2 linked regions of the Mus musculus genome follow. The protein of the gene in region 2 interacts with the protein of the main gene of each other region in a pairwise test. Links are inferred from orthologs where the notes say so. Each region holds a gene or a part of one and is shown on either strand. Other genes may lie near its edges.

Region 1 (10,573 bases), about 36 Mb from region 2:
GAACATCAATATCTGAAATATAATTTCCTAATACAGACCTTGGTGGGTTTGGTGGTTTGAATAGGAATGGCCCCCACAGATTCATGTGTTTGAATGCTTGGCCCACAGAGGTGTGGCCTTGTTGGAGGAAGTGTATCACTGTGGGGATAGACTCTAAGGTCTCCAAAAGGTGCTCCTTAGGTCTAGTGTGGCAGTCTTTTTATGCTGCTTTCACATCAAGATGTAGTACTCTCAGCTCCTTCTCCAGCACTATGTCTGCCTGCACGCTGCCATGTTTCCCACCGTGACCATAACTGACTAAACCTCTGACACTGTAAGCCAGCCCAACTAAATGTTTTCTTTATCAGAGTTGCTGTGGTCATGGTGTCTCTTAACAGCAGTAGAAACCCTATGGCAGTAGGGAAAATACAGTTAAGCAAAGAACTTCCAGTTTTTTATTTTTTTAAAATTATTTAACAAGGAAAACAGTCAAGCAAGTCTTTAAAAATTAGAAAGGATTAATTTACAATCAAACAGTCAACTTAAAATATCAGCCCCTTCATGAGGGTCACAGAGGCCAAGAGGTCTTTAAACAGCAGGATGCACAGTTGGCGTTCTGACCTATGTCTGACGGCACGCATGGAAATACGGAAGCCAAACAACTTCCACCCACCTTCCCGTAAGAGTCTAAACACTTGCTTAGAGCAATACTCAGATTTTAAAAACCAGTTGTATTTTAAAAAATATCTACAACTAATCTCATGAGAACACTCTTAAAACACAAATACCTTAAAATAATTTTGTGGCACATCAGTCAGCTTAAAGAAATAGCAAAATAAAAACTACTGTTCAAGAATTATCATCACTCTTTTAAATAGAAACCACCCAGTCAACACGTTTTCCATTAACTCCACTTCTCATATAGAGCTGAGCTAATTCCACCAGGTGGAACGCACACAGCTTCTGATCCTTGGTCGGAGCTGCCAGCTTGAGAGGTTATGACTAAATACAAAGGAAGATAAAACCAAGCTCACACGTTCTGTAAGGGGGAAAACAAACATTTGTCTTTACAGAGTTTTTGTCTATCTTCATATTCAAGTCATGACAAAGTTCACAGCAGTTTAAAGGCTGATTCTACAGGTGGCCAGCTAAAACAAACCCGCCTCCATTGTACACACTGCGGAACTAGTAAACTCGTACTGAGCTACCAACTCACACACGCTAAGTCCTGGACAAACGGCATTTACCAGGTTTACACAGATCCAGTATCAGCGCTCTTAGAACACTTTATTTTCATACTCTCCAATGTGTGAACAAAGCTTCAACTAACTGCCTTACAGCAACATGTTAATTTGTGACTGCCGGCCAGGCACTTAAACTCAGGAAGAGAGGCTCTGCAACTTTGAGGTAAAGCAGACCTTCACTAATTACTCTAAAAACACTTTGATACTATACCAACTGGACCTACTTGGCTTTTTTTTTTTTTTTTTTTTTTTTTTTTTGGCTTTTCGAGACAGGGTTTCTCTGTGTAGCACTGGCTGTCCTGGAACTCACTGTAGACCAGGATGGCCTAGAACTCAGAAATCCGCCTGCCTCTGCCTCCCAAGTGCTGGGATTAAAGGCGTGCGCCACCACGCCCGGCTCTTACTTGGCTTTTAAGTTTGTCACTGTTGTGCCAAAACCCACACCCCGTGGGAATATATGTTAGTAAGGGCATCTGAAACCTGAATTGGCTCCATTTGTTTCTGTGTTTATACTGGAAACCACCTACATACCTACATACATACGTACGTACATACGCGTGCACACACACACACACACACACACACACACACACACACACACACACACGGGATATGGTCAAACGGGTCAAGGTGAGTAACTTTCTCCTTAACTGGAGTTTAATTAATAAACTATTTAGGGATCCACCACCAGTCATATAGACATATTAAAACAAAACAAGACCAAGTGCTGGTCTCAGCAGCTTCAGGAAGATGACTGAGCCTTGTTGTAAAAGGCAGCAGTTTAGTTTGCCTAGGAATGCAAACCCCATGTGAATGATCCCAGTGTTAGCACTCAGGAGCATAGCAAATGTTTCTTCCCCCTTCTGATTAGTTTCAAGGTGATGGGGAATTTGCTTAATGAAAACTCATTAGGAACGAGCTCAGTCAGGTGTGTGTGGTGGAATGTGCCTGTAATCCCAGCACTTGGGAGATTGATCCAGGAAGAGTATTGTGAGTTTGAGGCCAGCTAGGACTACACAGCAAGATCCTGTTATAAACAAAAGAATCCCAAGGACCTCAGAATTTTAGGTATTACAAGATCAGAAGAGAAAATGGCCATTTTGGAATTAGGTTTGCTTTTTTCAATTAAGGTATCCAATTTATGTTTTCATTAGAATTACTGAGCTGAGTTACATCTTAGGTATCATGTGACAAACAAAACCCACTAATGAATTATCAGGGCAAACATCAAGCCTCCAAGTGACAACAATCAATGGCATTTTACATTCTTCTCTCGAGTAGCGAAGGATACCTCTTTATTTGAACAAACACATCAGCTTTTGTTAGTTGGCAGCCTAACTTATAGACATGTTTTAAATACTTTAAAAAAGCTATATAAAGAACATTAATCTAATTTTTTTGGGGGGGGAAGGAGATGGAGGTATGGACTCTGGCTTCAGTTTCCACGTGGCTAAGAATAAGGGTCTGAAAATGTAAAGATATCTAGGCTTACCCCAGAGCTCACCAGGTACTTCCAGTCCTGGTGAGAACCACACAAGCTTTATCCTTGTAGCACTAACAGCAGGCATCAGGCAAAAGTCTGTAAGCAGGAATAATAGGCAGGGAGCAAATATGGATGGACTGTTTCTCTGTGATGCTAACTGGCTTGTTCAAGTTTTGAAACCATGACCCGGTCCATTAGCACCATGGTTTAACCGAGATAACTGTTCAAGCCCCTCTAGGATGCTCGAACTTCTCTAGGCTGAGAGATGAGGGATGCTGAGAAGGGAACTGAGGGCCACGTTCTCTCCACATACAGATAGATATATATTCCATGAAGAAACTATGCAGCAAAGATATAACCTGTCTGCTAATAACTATATCTCAGCAAGGTCTGAGGAATCATTAATCACAGCTATAAAGTAACAACATGCCAATTTTTACAGTATCTATACTATAAATGGAGGGCTTCCTGGTATGAACCAATTCATTATAATGGAAGCTCATTAATTATTAGATTATCAGTAAGCTAGAAGATATTCCAAATATTTATAGGTGATAGTCTACCAAAAAAAAAAAAAAAAAAAAAAAAGATTAGCTAGAATTAAATGAAATTACTTGTAATTGTTTCAGTTCCATCTTTCTCCTGGGAGAATCCCAGACAGGGAAACTATCTTCATGTGCATACACAAAGCATCTGCCATCAGGTACATACACCTTTCCCTCAAAGGTAGATGGCTCAGAGTCACTTTCCTATACAATGGTTCTTGACACATCTATTCCAATTACAAACTGTAATGGAGCCTACAGAGCACTTTTAGGAAAAAGGCACTTTGTTGTGAATGTTGGATTTAATTGCATGCAGTTGAGAGTATTCGTGTTTGCATTTATGAATACAGAGCAGATGCCAGTTTATGGAATATAGCTGATCACATTACAAATCAATCAGCAACACTAATTATATTTTGGGAAGAAAGTAATTTATGACATTTTCCCCCCAAACCAACAAGGCCAAGTTCAACAGTTGGGGGCAGGGGAAAATCACCAGCAGTTGTTACCTTAGAGTATAAGAAACTGTTGTCAACAGAATGGCATGTCTAGTTTGGTTCTCTGCATCAATGTAAACTGCTTTTCAGAGGACAAAGCCAGCTGGAGGCTGTGTCTGTTTCTAGGGGAACCCAGGGCAGAGAACGACCGGGAGAGACAGGTCTATTTCTCTGGTCAGACAGCCGAGTGAGGAGGTAGTTATTCTGAAGAGGTCTCAGGTTAGATGGCTGTGCTCAGTAACTGAGTCGGGGAAGCAGGAAGCAGGAGCTTCTCTGAGATGCAGAGAGCAGCAGGAACAGGTCTCCTCCAGGGATGTCAGAACCAGGGCATCAGTGCAGCTGAAACAGAGACGGAGGTAAGAGAAACCAGGATAGGAAACTCAGTGTCAATCAAGACATTTCAAACTTGTCCTACCTTCAAAGTGGCTCTTTTCTGATGACAGAACTTTCAAAGTGTCTACAACAAAAGAACACAGTGTCATTTAGTGTCTATATTGTCAATCCTTAGTATGGCATCTTCAATGTGTCCACTCCACAATCATGGCACATATAGGTCTCAAATTCCTATACTAAAAATAGGAAGCTGTCTGTAGAATAAATGCTGAAAGAATTAATTAGATCTTAGCACTCCCTGAAAAGGTGCTATGAGGGAAATTATTTTATTTTTTTTAAAGATTTATTTATTTTATATATGTGAGTGCACTGTCACTCTCTTCAGACACACCAGAAGAGGGCATCAGATCCCATCACAGATGGTTGTAAGCCACCAAGTGGTTGCTGGGAATTGAACTCAGGACGTATGGAAGAGCAGTCAGTGCTCTTAACCGCTGAGCATCTCTCCAGCCCCAAATTATTTTACTTTTAATATTTGTTTGTGTGTGTGACATGTAGTGGCCTGTGGAGGTCATAAACAGTGGATCCCTTGGAGCTGGAGTCACAGTTGGCTACGAGATACCCAACATGGATGCTGGCATATGAATCAAATATATATTTGCATTTTCTAGTTGCAAATATATGAAAACTCTCATTTAAGTTGCAAAAGTCAGTAGTGCTGGCACTATTCTGAACTGCCTAATGCTAAGTAGAAGCTATGGTTCCAATGTAAGAGCACACACTCACCTTACTACATCAGCACACAGGGCAGCCCCATACAACCTTGAGTGCCATCGTCACTGCTGTTGAGCTTTTTCATTCGGTACTGGCGTATCTCCCTTACCAGTGTGTAAAAGGCATCCTCCACACCCTAGTAAAAGAAAAAAAAAAACACATACAAAAAAACTAACGAACAACAGGCACAGTTCAAGTTGTAACCTCTCATTTCCACCTCTCTGTGTGGATTTGATTCTAATCAATAGCTGATAAATTGGGGTGACTTAGGAAGAAGACACCAAATTCAGCATTCCTAGGGGATCACACTGGTAACTGGCATGTTTTATTTACAAAACAAACAACACAAAGATAGTCCAGCCAAGGAAGAAGGGCAAGGTGGGTGTACAGTACAGAACTACTGACTGTGAGGATCCCTCCAGGAAAGTTAAGTCCTCAATAGTGGCAAGTGCTGACAGAAAAAAGGATTCATGCTTAGAGAATGTTTAATCTTGGAAGAGTTGAGCCTGTTAAAGCAGAAATAGAATTCCCTGCCAGGGAGTGGTGGCGCATGCCTTTAATCCCAGCACTTGGGAGGCAGAGGCAGGAGGATTTCTAAATTCGATGGAGCCCAGCCTGGTCTACAAAGTGAGTTCCAGGACAGCCAGGGCTACACGAGAAATCCTGTCTCGAACAACAACAACAACAACAACAACAACAACAACAACAACAACAACAACAACGAAATCCCACAGTACAGTAGTGTTCTTTTTTTTGGGGGGGGGGTGATAGGGGAAGAGGGGAAAAGTTTAACAAGAAACAAAGACTAACTATACAGAAACCACTATCCAAAACCCATTATACATAACATAGATTACATCTCTACCACACTTGATCAATCAAACATCTCTGCTTTAAACACTTACTCACACTTGCTTGAATCTCTAGCATACCTGTCGGGTCTTGGCTGAGGTCTCAATGAATGGAATTCCGTAACTCTTGGCCAGTTCGTGGGCTTGCTTTGTGTCAACTGTCCTTGTTGGCAAGTCACACTTGTTGCCTACCAGCACCATGGGGACATCATCAGAATCTTTCACACGCTTAATTTGCTCCCTAGAACAAAGAGCAGGCAGCTGATCATAATAAGCAAAGCAAGCTTTCTGGAGGAGTACGCTGGCACACAAAAGGAAGTGGTAAATTTACAAAATCCTTCCAGCTACTATTACTCAGCTTACACACTCATACAACTCTAGACCTGCTAAGTCAAGAATGTCAATTTAGACTTGGTGTAGAAGCTGTATGAGGCTGTGAATACCAGTTCACTTCCAGCTCCAATATACTGATGCATGTCCTTGTTAGGCTCCTATATTTTCCAAGGAGCTTGGCTCTGGGTTTAATTGGAAACTACAAAAGGTTCTTTAGATTAAGCTTAAAAGTACAGAAAGTAGAGCTTATGGATTCTAAATAACTTAAGATACGTAACACTAAGAAAATTCTAGCCGGGTGTGGTGGTGCATGCCTTTAATCCCAGCACTCAGGAGGCAGAAGCAGGCAGATTTCTGAGTTTGAGGCTAGCCTGGCCTACAGAGTGAGTTCCAGGACAGCCAGGGCTTTACAGAGAAAACCTGTCTCAAAAAATTAAAAAAACAAAAAAACCAAAAAAAAAAACCTCCCTCAAGGCTGGAGAGATGGCTCAGGGATTAAGAACACTGTCTACTCTTTCAGGTGACCCAGGTTCAATTGCTAGTACCCACACAGGGCCCCAGACATCTATAACTCCAGTTCTAAGGCATCTGGAACCCTCCTCTGGCCTCCTTGAGCACCAGGCCCATGTGTGCATAGACATAGCAAAACAACGCGTACCCAGAAATAAAACTAAATCTTCTTAAAAAAGAATACCTCCCCCATAAAGTTGCCAAGAGTAAACAAATTCATACATATTCAGAACAGTGTCTGACCCATTGTGTATACTTTGTAAGTCTGCCAACACCTCGTGCGCCACTACGCCCGGCTGATGGAGGTATTCTTATAATAAATTCAGAAACACAGAGACACACAGATTTAGTATTTTGTCCTAAAGTTACTTAGCTAATTAATAACAGAGCCATGTTTTAACTTTGACAGTGACTAAAGATAGAATGCTGCTGTAAGAGAGAGAGACCCAGTGTTTTGGGGGTCTACCTCTGCTATATGGATGGGCAGTGGTGGTGCATGCCTTTAATCCCAGAACTGGGGAGGCAGAGGCAGAGGCAGGTGGAGCTCTGTGAGTTCAAGGCTAGCCTGATCAAAGAGTTCCAGGCCACACAAAGAAACCCTGTCTTTAAAACCAGACCAAACTTAAACAAACAAACAGAAAAATCACAACAACTCTGAAAATCTAACACCTCTGAACTCAGAATATTGGCTGGGAGTGTTGGCATATACCTATAAAGTTAGCACTTGGAAGGCTGAGGCCAAGTGCTAAATTCAAGGTAAGTCTGGGATACATAGCAACATCCTGTCTCAAAAATGTAAAATGAGTAAGAATGTTGTACTAAAATCCTTAGGGCCCAAATAGCTCTGAAACTCACCAGTTCTCTGAGAAGTCTTACTGTTACTCTGTAGCAGACCCCATTTCCCGAGTAGTACCGTGACAGTACACCACACACTCAGTGAAAATCAGATTCTTCTCTTTTTCTTTCTTTTGTTTTTTGAGACAGGGTTTCTCTGTGTAGCCCTGTCTGTCCTGGAACTCACTCTGTAAACCAGGCTGGCCTCGAACTTAGAAATCCGCCTGCCTTTGCCTCCTGAGTGCTGGGATTAAAGGTGTGCACCATCACTGCCTAGCAGATTCTTTTTAATATTTGGGGTTTAAAGATGGTCCATGGGCAAAGGCGCCTGCTAACTAAGCCAAGATGCCCAGGCCCTAAGGAGGGAGCTTTTATTAGCTGTCTTCTGCCTCCCATGGCACATATCTGCTGTTGCACTTGTTCTGGCCTCCACAAAACAAAACAAAACAAAACAATATCACCAAAATGTTAAAAAGTTGTATGTTTCCTAAGTCCATATACTTTAGTATAGTTTCAGAGCACATACAAATTTTTTGTTTCAGAAAATATCCCCAGTACCTGTAGAGGTTAATATCTGCAAATGATTTGCTATTATTGATGGCAAATACACAGAGGAACCCTTCGCCTGTCCTCATGTACTGGTCTCTCATGGCACTGTACTCCTCTTGTCCAGCTGTGTCCAGTATGTCCAGCAGGCAGGTCTCACCATCAATCACCACTTGCTTTCGGTAAGAATCCTGGGAATATGAAAGAGTGAGGAGGTGGTGGTGGGGGGGACAAGGACAGGCTCAATCTTTATTTAAAACCAGAGAAATGTAATTAACCAGGATGAATACGCCTACCTATGTGATTTACCCTCAACCCGCTAACAGTAGCATGAATAGCAAACAAACATACACATACATAATCACACGCATGCATGCACACATGACATAAGGGCAGGTGAATTTATATCTGTGAGTTCAAGTCTCAGGCCAGCCAGGGTAGTGCAGTGAGACCCTGTTTCAAAAAAAAACAAAACAAAAACAAAACCAGCCTGAGTTATGAGGTTAAGACAAAAACAAAAAACAAACAAACAATAACAACAACAACAACAAAAACAAAAAACCAAAGAAAACAAAACCACTAATAAAAAATAACAAAACCAGAAACATCTAGTATGGATTTATGGCCAAATTCTTATTTTTATTATATAATAGTCCAAACTTAGAAGACCTTATCTGTGGTTTTGGAAATGTGCTTATATTTTGTTTCATGAATATATTAAAATGTAACCTGTGTAGACATCTGAATTTAACTAACATTCCTGTGTGTTAGAACAGGTTTACACATGAAAAAAATATTTGGTTTTTGTAAACAGGGCCTCAGTAAGTAGTTCAGGCAAGCCTAGAAATTGAAACCTCCTCCCTCAGCCTCTTGAATGCTTACAAATTGGACTTATACATACCTGCACCATTAATCCCAGGGAAGTGATAGAAATTTAACGTCATATAGAAATATGAGACTTGTAAGGATTTAGGTGATTTTCCTCAATATCCGTAACTAAATTGTGAAGAAATTCCTAGATACAATGACTCAAAATCTCAACTTGTTTCTACCCCAACTCAATCTGGACTAGATCAAAAATGACAACTTCAGACTATCCAGAGCTCTGAGTTCTCTATCCTCACTGTATGATCGCCTACAATCTTTTTCCTTGTGACCTACGTTTCTATTAAAGAGCTGTGACATAAAGAAACAATGAAAACTGTGTTCTTTTAAAAGGAAATCCTCAGTAAGCACGAACTTGTTTACTGCTTTTTTGGAATACCTCCTTGCTTTCTCTTCTCTTTACTTTCAAAGAGCCGTTATGGGCAAGAGAAAGCCCAAAGTGAGGATAAGGGCCAGGCAGGGGCTGGGCCTCACCTCTATGGTGGGATCATATTCATCCACAAAGTGGTTCTGGATTAGCTGGATCGTCAAGGCGCTTTTCCCAACACCACCTGCTCCAACCACCACCAGTTTGTACTCAGTCATTTCACACCAGCAAAAACCTGTAGAAAAGCAGCAATTACGATTAAACTGGCAAACCAAACCTACAATACTTCAAGGGCTTCTATGAGTTTACCAAACTCTTCTGTTTCTAAGGCACCCATTCGATACACGTGGCCTTCCACTAAGTTCTCAAAGTGATTCAGAAACATAGCATTCCTTGCAGATGAGTGCGGGCCAGATTATTGGATTAAAGACCAGCGACTATTTTTTCAATCTACTCGGCCCCGCCCTCAGTTTACGGGAAAAGAACCCCCCTCTTCCAATTCCTGCAAACCCAAGCTCTGGGGTCCGCCTGGCACAACCACTTCCCGAAACTCCCCTTTCCGGCTCCGAAAATCACCCCAGAGCCAGCCAGAGTCCCCCACCCAAGCCTTTGTTTCAGCTCGCCAAGTCTCCGCGTCTCCCCGCCCCGCCAGGCGTTCACACGCTGAGAAGTCCGACGCCAGGCAGGCCGGAGCTTTACCTCAAACTCCGCAGACCCCGCCTCGGGAGGCTTTTGGACTTCAACCTGAGAAGCTGTTGGAGACCCCGAAACCGCCATGAACAGCCCCCGCCAGGGAGCGGCACTTCCGGCCCCACCCGCTACGTAATCACTAGGCGCCCAAGGCGCCCCAGTCCCCGCCCCAGCCACGTGGGCCGACGACTAGAGTCTTGCAGCCGGCCGCACCCAGTCCAGCCCCGCCCCGCCCCCATTTCAATAATGAAAGCGCTAGGTGCTAGTGTCTCAAAAATCAGTAAAACTTTATTCGCTTCCATTCTTTCGCCATTAACATAAAACCGGAGAAAGCAAAAATGTTTTGTGTTTACAAAGATAAACGGCCTCTTTACCCAGAGTTCAAAACCTCAAATGACAACGGGGAAGATGAAAGCGCCCTCCCCGACAACCCCTGAGCTGACCCTTGTCATTGTTAGACAAAAAGCCTTCACTCCACTTGCCAGGGACCCTGTTTGGGGCCAATTCAAGATGAAGGCCGAGAAATCAGGCCAATCCGTTCCCGTGATACAAAGTTGAACAGAAGCTACACCAAGGATCAAGTGCCTGTATTGAACAGGGCACTGGAACCACGGGGCTATTTATTAAAAAAAACAGGATTCATTTCAGGCACAACTTTTTTATTATTATTATTTTTTTGTTCATTTTGTTTTTAAATCAGTA
Region 2 (10,673 bases):
ATCCCTGTGAGATCATTCATTTTTATTGTGGTTAAGTTCAGTTGATTCCTCCAGTGAGATCCCTTCAAACAATATCCCAAGCATCGTGGGGAAGAGGCAATTGGCTCCCTACGATTGGAAGAAAGACATCCTCTCTCTTCCCGTCTATCCTCTGTGCAGGTCCCTCCCAGTATGTCTCCTTTAAGGGATTTTAATCGCCTTCCAAAAGGCATTACTTAGTGAAGTTTTATCTTTCTCACAGATATTTTCCTCACTGCTCTTCCTCTCAAATAAAAACCATTTCTCAAGCCATGTCAATTTCCAAAAGAACTTGTTATCCAAATGAACAGGTTAGGTATGGACACACACACTTCATGGAGGAATCCGTAAACCTCTAAGTTGTACATTACAAACCTCCTCTTCGCTTTCTAATAGGCCTACTCAAATCTTGCCACTGCCTATCTTGCAGTGGGGGGATCGAACTGACTTCTGAGAGGACCTCTTGACTTAAGAAACATCTTCCTGGTCGTTGTTTGTGTTCATGACGAGTATTGTAAGCAATTGTTCTTGTCGTTTACCTTGTTTGAAAGCAGGGACATCTAGGAACACAAAGAGCGAACACAGTCCGACACTCAAGCCAGTAGAGAAACTTTTTCTTAAAATAAAATAATATAGACTGGTTGTTCTATTTAGTTATTGAATAACTGGAGAAGTTTAGGCCTGGTATTTCCTCTCAGTCCCATGCTCCCAGAGATAAAACTCAGACTCAAAATATATTTACAAACGCATTGGCCATATAGCTAGATCATAACTTAAATTATCCCATTTATTTTATTCTACATTCTGCCAGGGGACTGGGCTCAGGTACCATGTGTCCATCTTGTCCCATCTTCCTGGGTGAATCTCCCATGCTTGGCTCTATCCCAGAATTCTTTCTTCCTCCCAGATGTTCCACCTTCTATTCTACCCTTTCCTATTGGCCTTAGGTTTTTGAATTGACAGGTGAAGCATCCATACAATACACAAGATAGTCTCTCTACAAATAATTGTTCTCACTGTGAGGTGTCAAGTTTATTTCTTTATTTTTAAAATGTCTTTTATTCTTTTTAGGAAAAATCTCAACACCATTCTTCTTCTTTAACATATATGGATGCTTTGCTACAGAGTATTTCTGTGTACCACGTGAATGCATGGTGCCCATGGAGGCCAGAAGAGGGCAGTAGATCACCCGGAACAAGAGTTACAGGTGATGATGCACCTCCATGAGGATGCTGGGAATGGGAGCCATGTCCTCTGCAAGAGCAGCCAGTGTTCTTAACATCATTCTTGCTCTCTTTTAGGAAAAAATCATAGAGACAACCGAAAGACTTTTAATTATGCAGTAACTTCCACTAAACATTTGCTCTGTTAGCTCTGTTCTCAGCACTGGTGATCTAACAGCCAAAAAGGAAAGGCAAAAATTACCGTCTTTCAGGATGGATGCTTAAACGTGATCGCTAAAGGGCAAAATACACGCCATTCTAGTGATAATATTGAAGAGACATAAAGTACAGAGGTGTGGATATAAAGTGGGTGTACAGAGTCTGGATGAAATGGTATAGAAGGGCTCCTCACACAGGTAACTTTGAACTCAGAGGTTCTCAGCCTTCCTAATGCTGCCACCCATTAAAACAGTTCCTCATGTTGTATATAGGCCCTCATGGTGACCCCCTAATCATAAAATAATTTTGTTGCTACTTCATAATTTTATTACTGTTACAAATCATAAATTAAATACCTGTGTTTTCTGATGGTCTTAGGTGACCCCTGTTACAGGGTCATTTGACAACCCCCCCTCCCCCCACCAAGGGCCATGACCCATAGGTTGAGAATAACTGTTTTAGACAAAAATATTTTAAAAATCATTATATTCCTATAAAAGGAGAAGAAAGAATTGTGTATGTTGGCACATTCCTTAATCCTATCATTGGAGAGGCCACAGGAGAACTGATATGTTTGTGAGATCATTTGGGCTACACAGTGAGTAGGCCAGCCAGGACTATATATAGCAAGACCACACTTCAAAAACAAAACAAAACAAAACAAAACAAAACAACCCAAGAGGCATTACATCATTCCTTAAATGAGCCACTTCTAGGTATAGTCCAAAAGAGTCTCACTATAGTTATGTCAATGTATTGGAGTTCAACATGATCATCATGATTGCCCTGCACTGTGCCTTTAATTGGTGAGAAAGTCGAAGGGGTGGCTTGTGGATGCAAGAGGAGCACAAATGATGCTTAAACTAATGCCAGGTGGGAGGACAAAAACCCAGCTGCCTTTCCAATTTCAATGCATACATGCAAATGAAAGCTAGACATACCCTGAAATTATTGTGATATGTAATTAGCAAAGGAAGTAACAGGAAACTTAAAGCAACTTGAAACAGAGAATGTAGAAGACATTTGTGAAAATTAAGGAAAGAGAGAGAGAGAGATCAACCATGTGAAGCAATAGAAAGACCTAGCATGGTCTTTTGCAAACATTTGGGAAAAAGAAGCAGAACAAGGCACGTGCATGTTTGTAGACTTGGGGGGGGGGGTGGTCTTACTGACTGAACTGTGCCCAGCCATCGAGCAGAAATCCCTAAGACATCGGAATGTGACCTTGTTCAGAAATCAGGTCATTGCAGACACCAGAGTCAAGATTGGGAGTGGCCTTCCCGATCTTCATGACCAGTGTCCTTATAAATAAGGGAAAACTGGACACATAAGCACGTAGGGAAAATATGTGAAAGCTAGAGTCATATTGCTACAAGGCAAGGAAGAGGTACCCTCAGAAGATGTGTGGTCCTGCCCTGGTTTGTCTTCTGGGCCCCAGATGCTCAGTAATTTTGTTTGAACCCTGTGTATAGAGATTATTACAACAATCCTAACAGCCTTCTGCAAGATGAATTATAGGCAAACAGGAAGAGTAGTTTTCTTCCAAGAACGGGTGTTTAACATCTGTATCAGTCTATGCCTGAGCTGCTGTAAATAGATCACACCTGTCTTTAATTATGTTGCATTTTTATTTCAGAAAAAATCACATAAAATCCCAGTACCTAACATATCGAGATGCTCTTGTGATCTGTGCCTGTAATATTAGCGACTGGTCTGTGAGAGTCACAGATGAAGAAACAGCCCCTTCTGGCAGCAAGAGTTGCAGCTCCTCTTCCTACAGATCGCCACAGGCCTGGGATAAAGTCCAGGCAGGCAGGGGTCAGGACACGTGCAGGTCTCCTACTGTCTCTTCTTCTTCCTTCTCCCCCTCCTTCTTTTATTTTACGTTATTATTATTATTTATTTTTTTGGTTTTTCACAGGCGGATTTCTGAGTTCCAGGCCAGCTGGTCTACAAAGTGAGTTCCAGGACTGCCAGGGCTACACAGAGAAATCCTACTGCCTCTTCTTGGTGCAGAGCCCAGTCTGGGACCCCGAGCCCCGCGAGAGCATGTGGGAGCATTTCGGTCACAGTCCCCGGGCGGCTCGTCATCCACCGAGTTACCCCCGCCCGTAGGTGGACTTTCAGTGTTTCTGATCTCAGCACGTCTTTCCTCCCTGGCACAGCCGGAGTGCGGCGGACACAGCCTGTAGGGTCCCGCCCGACGGGTTAAAGGGCTTTAGGCACTGGCTCGCCGAGGGTGACCTTGCGACCGCTCTCCGCTGGACCGGCTTTCCCGCCAGCCCCGCAGGACAGCCTGATGCGCCCTGGGGACGCGCCCGCGGACATCTACGTCCTCCTGCTCCGCCACCCCGCACATGCTCGCCTGGGGCGTGCGCTGCCAGGCACGCTCCGGGCTGAGACTTCCTCCCGGGAGGCTCCGTCCCAGCAGCCCGGAGATCTGAGCCCTGCTTCCGCCCCTCGAGCAACAGCCACCGAGCTGTACCGCTCCGGTCTGTAGACGCACAGCCCCCGGCGGGCTAAGCCTCGCCGGCCGTGGGCAGGAGGCAGCACTGGCCGCACTGAGCATGCTCGGCGGAGAGGGCGGGGCGCTCGGCGGAGAGGGCGGGGCGCTCGGCCGCGCGTCGGGAGGGCGCTCCTCAGGACGGCTCGGCGCCTCCGCGCCAGCCCGCCCGCCCGCCCGCCCGCACGTTCGCTCGCTCGCTCGCTCGCAGCCGCGCCCGCCGCAGGCTGCGCCCGGCCGCCCCGCCCCGCCCCGCCCCGCCCCCCGCCGCTCGTCCCCGCCGCGGCCGCGCCGCCCGCAGCCGCAGCCGCTGCTCCTCCCCGGCGGCCGCCCCCCGCGGGTCCCTCCCTGGCTGCGGGAGACGCGGAGGTAGAGGGAGGACGCCGCCGCCGCTGAGCCGCGCCGCCCGCACCCGAACCCTTCGCCTCGCCCTGCCGGTCCTCACTCTGTGGGAGGAACATGGGTGAGTCCTGCCGGCCGTCATCGCCTGACATTTTCTTTTCTCCCCCTCGGCGTGCTGCAGGGTGGCAGTGCATCTCTCCTGCAAACTTGCCGGGGTCCCCGGGTCCGCGAGGTGCGGGGCGGCGGCCCTCCCAGGGGGAAGGCGGGCGCACGAGGGCGGCCGGGCCGGCGGGGTCGCGCACGGGGTGGGGTCGGCGGCGGGCTCCGCGCTCGCCTCCCCTCCTCCACGCTTCCTGCCGGCACCGGGCCGCGCGGGGCGTCCCCGGGGCTGGGAGGCCGCGGTGCTGCAGGCTCGGTCCCACGGCGAGCCCGACCACTTGGCGGAACTTCCTTCCCGTGGGCGCGATCGCTCCCTCCCCGGCCTGCCGACGGCCGGCGCCGGTGCGGGGAGAGCCGGCAAGTAGTTTGGGAGGGCGATGGCCAGCCGAGTGCCGAGCGGACAGTCTCCAAGGTGGAGGTGGCGACTCGCCCGCCGCCGCCGTGGGCAGCGCGAGGCTGGCGGGAGCCGCTAGCTGTTGAATTAGTGTTGGGAGACTACGGCGTGCACAGTTCCGGTCCTCAAGCGGTTTTCTGGATTTCTCCTGTAGCTGGAAACTGTGCCCTGTAACACATTGTTAAGGAATTTACATGCTGCCTGTTCTGCCCCAGCTGCCCCTGCCTAAATCTGTATAATCTGATTCTAGTTCCATTGTACTTATAGTTAATCCTAAAAGAATGGATACTTCAATGCAAATGTTTTATAAAACTGTTTATGTTTGAACGTGAGATTCTCCTCAGATATTGCCTACCTGTGCATAATTACAAAAGCACCGGATACAAATCTCTTCTGTAATTAAGGGCGAAAAGTTTCCTTTGATAGTAACAACTTAGATCATCTGTCCAGTACACGTTCCCCAGTTTGCTTCTATTCCATAATTTGCGTCTATCGTAATTTCCCCTTTTAAAAACTGGCTTCTTCGGCGTCCCTCCACACGGACTTTGCCCACTCCTTCTGGGCAAGTTATTTATGAGTGTGGTCCTTTCATCTGTCAACACAGTGCTCAATGCTTAGAGTTAGATCATGGCAATACAGAACCCTCCAGGAAGTATCAGAATCCTAGAAATGATGTGGTAGCCTTTCCCGGAAGACCAAATACTCTTAGCTTTGAGTCAGATCTTTGTCATTTAGTAGGAAGAGGACCGTTGGGGGAGAAGGAGGTGGTTTTAATGAAACAAAGCAGAACAAAACACCCATGCCCCTGAATTTTATTTTCACTTGTTTGTCTTCCAAGTGAGTATCACTGACAGTCGGAACATTTCTATAAAAAAAAAAAAAAAAATCGGTATCCCATTTGTTCGTCCCTTTATAGAATTTTAAAAGAATACTAATCCAGATTACAGATTAAAATCTGCGTGTTGGAAAGTTTTTAATTACACTTACAGGTTTGGTGTAGAAACAAGTCTCAGTTTTTTAAAGGTGAGATTTAGTTAAAGCTCATTTTAACTAAACGTTCAAAATGTTGAATCGGTATTTTTCCCCCAGTGGGGGTGGATATCCAAGGTCTGTTGTTGCAAATTAGGGAATAAAAATACCTAAAACAGATTAAGTTACTTAATAATCTTGCAAATCTTGAATGCTGATGGGTGATTTAAAAGGGGGGGGGGAGAGTCAAATACAAACCCACTTTATTTTGAAGCTTCTCAGAAACTCTTGTTTATGTTCCCTCCTGTTAGCACTTGGGGTACCTTGTTAGAAGTTTTGTTGTTTTGTTTAAATAGCACCCACATAATGTCTAATGGAGTTATTTGCATATCTAGTTGTTTTGAGCATTTAACTTTATGTTCAAGAAGATGACATTTTATGTCTTAAGTTTTGTGTCTTTTGTGAGAGTTTTCACATAGTAGGTGTTCAATAAAATTTGGCCAAATTATTCTTTACACTGGCATGTACTTTCTGCTCTTGAACTTGAAACGTAGGCCCTAAACGTTGGCGTGAATTGGTAGACATGGAAGTATAGAAAATGTCTTGCTGTAAGGCCTTTCACTAAACACTGGTTACATTATTGCAGGGTGTGGGTTTTGAAGGCAACCTTAGGTATATAGTTTCCTTCTATAATGCTGTTTGCAGTGATTAAGATGTCTTTGTATGATCGAGAGGTATATACAATAATAAAACATTAAAACCTTGGAAGATAATTTTATATCTGAGCCACAGAAGTTAAGACAACTCCTAAGATATACTAATTAATGGTGGGGGAAGGGATTATTTTTTAACTGTCTTTTAAAGAAATCAATAAGGTGCATTTTATTTATTTTAGGTAGTCTGCTTTGTTTTTGTTGTCTTGGGTAGCAAACCCCAGAGCCTTGTGCATATTTGAGTCCCAGCTGGAACCCTTAAAGGGTATTTTTATGGCAATAGCTTTTCTCCATAAGAAAATGAAGAATATTTTCTATATAACCTCACAGATCCCAGCTGTGACTTTAATTACTATAAGTGTATATGTTATTGCAACCCAATATTGATCAAAACTCCATCCTATGGAGTGTACGGTGGGGAGGCAAGAATGAGTGATACAAACACACTTACGGTTTCCTATACTCTCCAGAACCATATGAGCCACAAATAACTATACTAAAAATGAGTGTGTGAGTCGCAGGAGTAAAGGCACACACCTGTATTCTCACCACAATGGAAGAAAGGCTGAGGCAGGAGGATCAAGAGGACTGGTGGGTTTGAAGCCATCCTGGGTTGCCTGGCTGGATTAAAAAGAAAAGTTATCCTGTCTCAAACAGCAACATTAAAGTCTTTATTCAACATGAGGAAATCTGCAAATGATACAAAGTATCTTTGCATATATTAGGAAGCTGTTGGGGATGCAGAGGTTTTAGAGAAATGTTATGTGAACCAAAGGTTAGTTAGGTTTCTAAACAGTAGAAATGAGAATGCTGGAAAGAGGGGTATGGGGTAAGATGAAAATAGATAGGGAAGGTTAGAGATGTTTCTAGAAAAGTTTATAAAAGGCCTTGTTTAGCTAGAGAAAAATACAGAAACGTTGGGAGACAGAAGTGAAAACGTATTACCAGTCACCAAATAGTGGTAGGTCTGAAATGCTGGGCTGAAGTTTGCACTTGTTGAGGGAGTCAACCATTAAATGTATTCATGGGGCAGAAGGTTGCTGTTCTCTTACCTGACCATAATGGTAATTTCACAGTAGTCCCTCACACTTCTTCGACATTCCCTTCTCTTATGTCTATGTTGTAGCATAGTATAGTTTGTTTGTTTTTAAACCCCTGTGGTATCTTCTATTGGAGATTCTGGTTTAACATTAGTTTTAGAGAGAGCAAAATCATCTAAACCAAAGTCTGTTTTGATTATAAATTTTACGATATTTGAAATTCAGGTTTGAAATGTGCCCAGTATCTCAGATGGCTTATATTCGTTCTGTCTCTGCATGGTGTTTTTCTTTAGTTTTCAAATGGCAGTTTCTTTCTTAACAAAGCAGCTTAAGTGTTTGGGTCAGTTTGCTAGCTATACTAGGGCTGAGATAGGGACTGTATTCAGACTGCAGAGGAATGGAATTTGCTTGGTACATTTATTTATACAGGATTGTTACTTAAAGAATTCCTGGAATTAAGCCAGGGATGAGGCTAGTGATAAAGGGGATGGCTATAAAGTGGGCTGCAAGCTATGACCAGCTGTGTTTGTAAAGTTCACAGTCCCTCTGGTGGTTTTTTACCCCTCTTTTCTTTCCAGAATGACTTTAGATACCTAGATACCTGTTGTATAGACAGACAGACAGACAGACAGACAGATGGACACACACACACACCAAAAACAAACAAACAAAAAAAACTTGCTACAACTTTGTATCTACCAGATTATTAGACAACACTATAAAAAATTATTTGAAACTCATTTTAGTTCAAAGTTAAACTGAATATATAATTAATTGAGATTTAATTTTAGTGATTATCAGTTTGCTAGTGTGATTATATTGTGTACTCACCTTATGGAAATAATAATTTCATGGACACAATAATAAACTATAGTGAAAAATGTGGTGCTTTGCTTAATATAAATACCCATTTTAATGTGTCTTATCTAACTGCCCATCATTTAATTTTTAATAATGGTTTTAATAACTGTCTCAGATTTTCTAAAAATGAATGAACAAGCCTCCTGGGCCAGTAGTCTTCAGACCATACTGAAGCAGTAGTTACCCCCTGTGGATGCCAGTTACCATGTTGCACTTTATAGAACTTAAAATTTAATCTTCTTAACAGTTAATAGGGTGACACACTCCCTATTTTACTGATTCAAAGAAATAGTTCCTCCAAGAGGATAAAACATTCCAAAAATCTTAATTTTTAAAGTAGTCATTTTCAAAGTTTAGCTTGCCTAAGAATCATCTGGAGAGTTTGTTTAAAACACGATGACTGGGCAGCTCCCAGTTCTGATTGAGTTGGTTTGCATCGTTGAGAGAGTCTCAGGTGAGAGCGGGTATTGGGAATAACACCTCCACGCAGCAGACGTTGGCAAGCTTTTTCTGTAAAGGGCCAGATGGTAAATATTTTAGACTTTCAGGCCAGGAGGCAAAGTCAAGACTGTTGAACAGGAAAAAAAAAAAAAGAAAGAAATATATGACGAACAAATATATGAAAACAAACAATTGCAGTCTTTTGGTTGAATTCAAAACAACCAATATTGATTGGACAGTTTGTGTGGTACAGGTTGTTTCAAAGGGTCACATGACAATTATGGTTCCAAGTCACCGAATTATCAGCATTGATTATAGATATTCATCGGTTAGTGCAGAGCTCTAATGAAGTTTTTCCACGTAGGTAGTGCCGGGTGCACATAATTCTTCTTGTTTTGGATACGCTGAGTGTTAAGCCCAGGGTTCTGTGCGCCTCTGTTCCTAATGAGCCTAGCTCTCGTACAGGAGGCATTTAGAGACTTCTTGTGTTCTTGATAGTTCCCAGTTGGCATTCAGATGAGCTACCTCCAGTTGATAACTCAGTCAGCTCTTAGTGAGCTTGTGAGAGAGAGGCTGCAACTGTAGTTTTGGCTTGAAAAGTCTGTGTTGTAGTAAATATTCTTTGGGGGTTTCTGCTCTACCTTAGATCATTTAGTTCCCAAATAAAAGACACAAAACCTTTATAGGTATCATAGGCCTTAAAAGCACTAGAGCTGGGCAGCTATCAGCCTTCTGCGCTGCCTTGTCCACTTCCCTGTCAGTAACCCTGATATATGACTTCCATCTGGGCTGCTCCTGCTCCAGCTGGCTGTCCTCATTGCCGTGTTCTCACGATCTGTCTACCTCATCTCACCTTACTCTGCTCTCTTCATGGTCTGTGCCTCTGACCCCAAGTCCCTGGAGCTGAAGCCTTGCCTACCTCTCGTCTGCCCAGCTACAGTCTCTGGTTAGTTTTATTGACCAATCAGGGATCACTTGGGAGGCAAGGTTACATAGCATCACTTGGTGTGCATCCCTGGGGACAACCAGACCTTGGGGGCCAGTATTTAGCCTTACAATACATAGCAACGGATGAAACCTCAACAGGTATACCTACGTTTTCTGTGTTCATGGAGATCTTGTTTAATAGATGACGACACAGCAATGGCCCAAGGTAGATCAGTTCTTACTTCTGATTGGTCCAGATGACATTATTGTACTATATATTTCTTCTGTGAGTTTTACATTGACTTTGAGATGAGATGCACTAGGAACATCAAATATGTAGGGAAGTCTAGTTTTCAAAGACATGAGCTTGGGGCTTAGTTGTTTTCTTTCTTCCTTTGCTATTTGTAGTGAGTATTTTTTTTTAAAGGTCAGAACATCTCCTGTGTCCTGAATATATGTGTGTGTGTGTGTGTGTGTGTGTGTGTGTGTGTGTGTATATATACTCCTTTTAAATCAACTATAACCTTACAGATGCTAACCCACTGGGCTCCCATGTAGTAAGACAAGTTGTGAGTTTTTAATTTCTACTCTGATAGGGATAGACAGAGCCAACCGTGGGTTGGTTAAATCTCTGAGTGCAAATCAAGTTCTCTCCTGGTGGCAGTCAAAGGATACCCGTAAGGATTAAATGCTTTTCTCCAGAAAAACCTGCTGATGAAGCACAGTAAGCCTCAAACACCGTGTGTTTGGAAAACAGCGTTTCTAAGCTCGGTGAATCAGCCTCTGTGCTGCTCAGATGGGTTTGATGCCACTTCAGGTTATACACGATGACGTTTTCTTCGAAAATTCTCTTTCTAATCACTGTTCTATGTCAAAAGCAGCTTTACAGAACTAAATTCTTAAGCAGTTTGGAACTGACTTCTT

The links. The genes of interacting proteins can lie anywhere in the genome.
Region 1: the proteins of Rap1gds1 (region 2) and Nras interact in binary tests that used the Homo sapiens proteins (3 or more experiments, as listed by UniProt). The link is inferred for Mus musculus from reciprocal best matches to the Homo sapiens genes RAP1GDS1 and NRAS.

The regions. Positions count from the first base shown.
Region 1 is NC_000069.6:103,057,748-103,068,320, reverse strand, and holds Nras (GTPase NRas), read right to left. Parts: upstream 10,037-10,573; 5' UTR 9,881-10,036; intron 9,855-9,880; exon of another isoform or gene 9,783-9,854; intron 9,760-9,782; exon of another isoform or gene 9,737-9,759; intron 9,726-9,736; exon of another isoform or gene 9,567-9,725; coding exon of another isoform or gene 9,491-9,566; intron 9,417-9,490; coding exon of another isoform or gene 9,400-9,416; coding exon 9,289-9,399; intron 8,121-9,288; coding exon 7,942-8,120; intron 5,948-7,941; coding exon 5,788-5,947; intron 4,992-5,787; coding exon 4,872-4,991; 3' UTR 4,868-4,871; intron 4,206-4,867; 3' UTR 4,164-4,205; intron 4,088-4,163; 3' UTR 407-4,087; downstream 1-406. UniProt on the Homo sapiens protein: Ras proteins bind GDP/GTP and possess intrinsic GTPase activity.
Region 2 is NC_000069.6:139,068,729-139,079,401, reverse strand, and holds the start of Rap1gds1 (rap1 GTPase-GDP dissociation stimulator 1), read left to right. Parts: upstream 1-4,200; 5' UTR 4,201-4,362; coding exon 4,363-4,366; intron 4,367-10,673. UniProt on the Homo sapiens protein: Acts as a GEF (guanine nucleotide exchange factor) for the Rho family of small GTP-binding proteins (G proteins) that stimulates the dissociation of GDP to enable subsequent binding of GTP.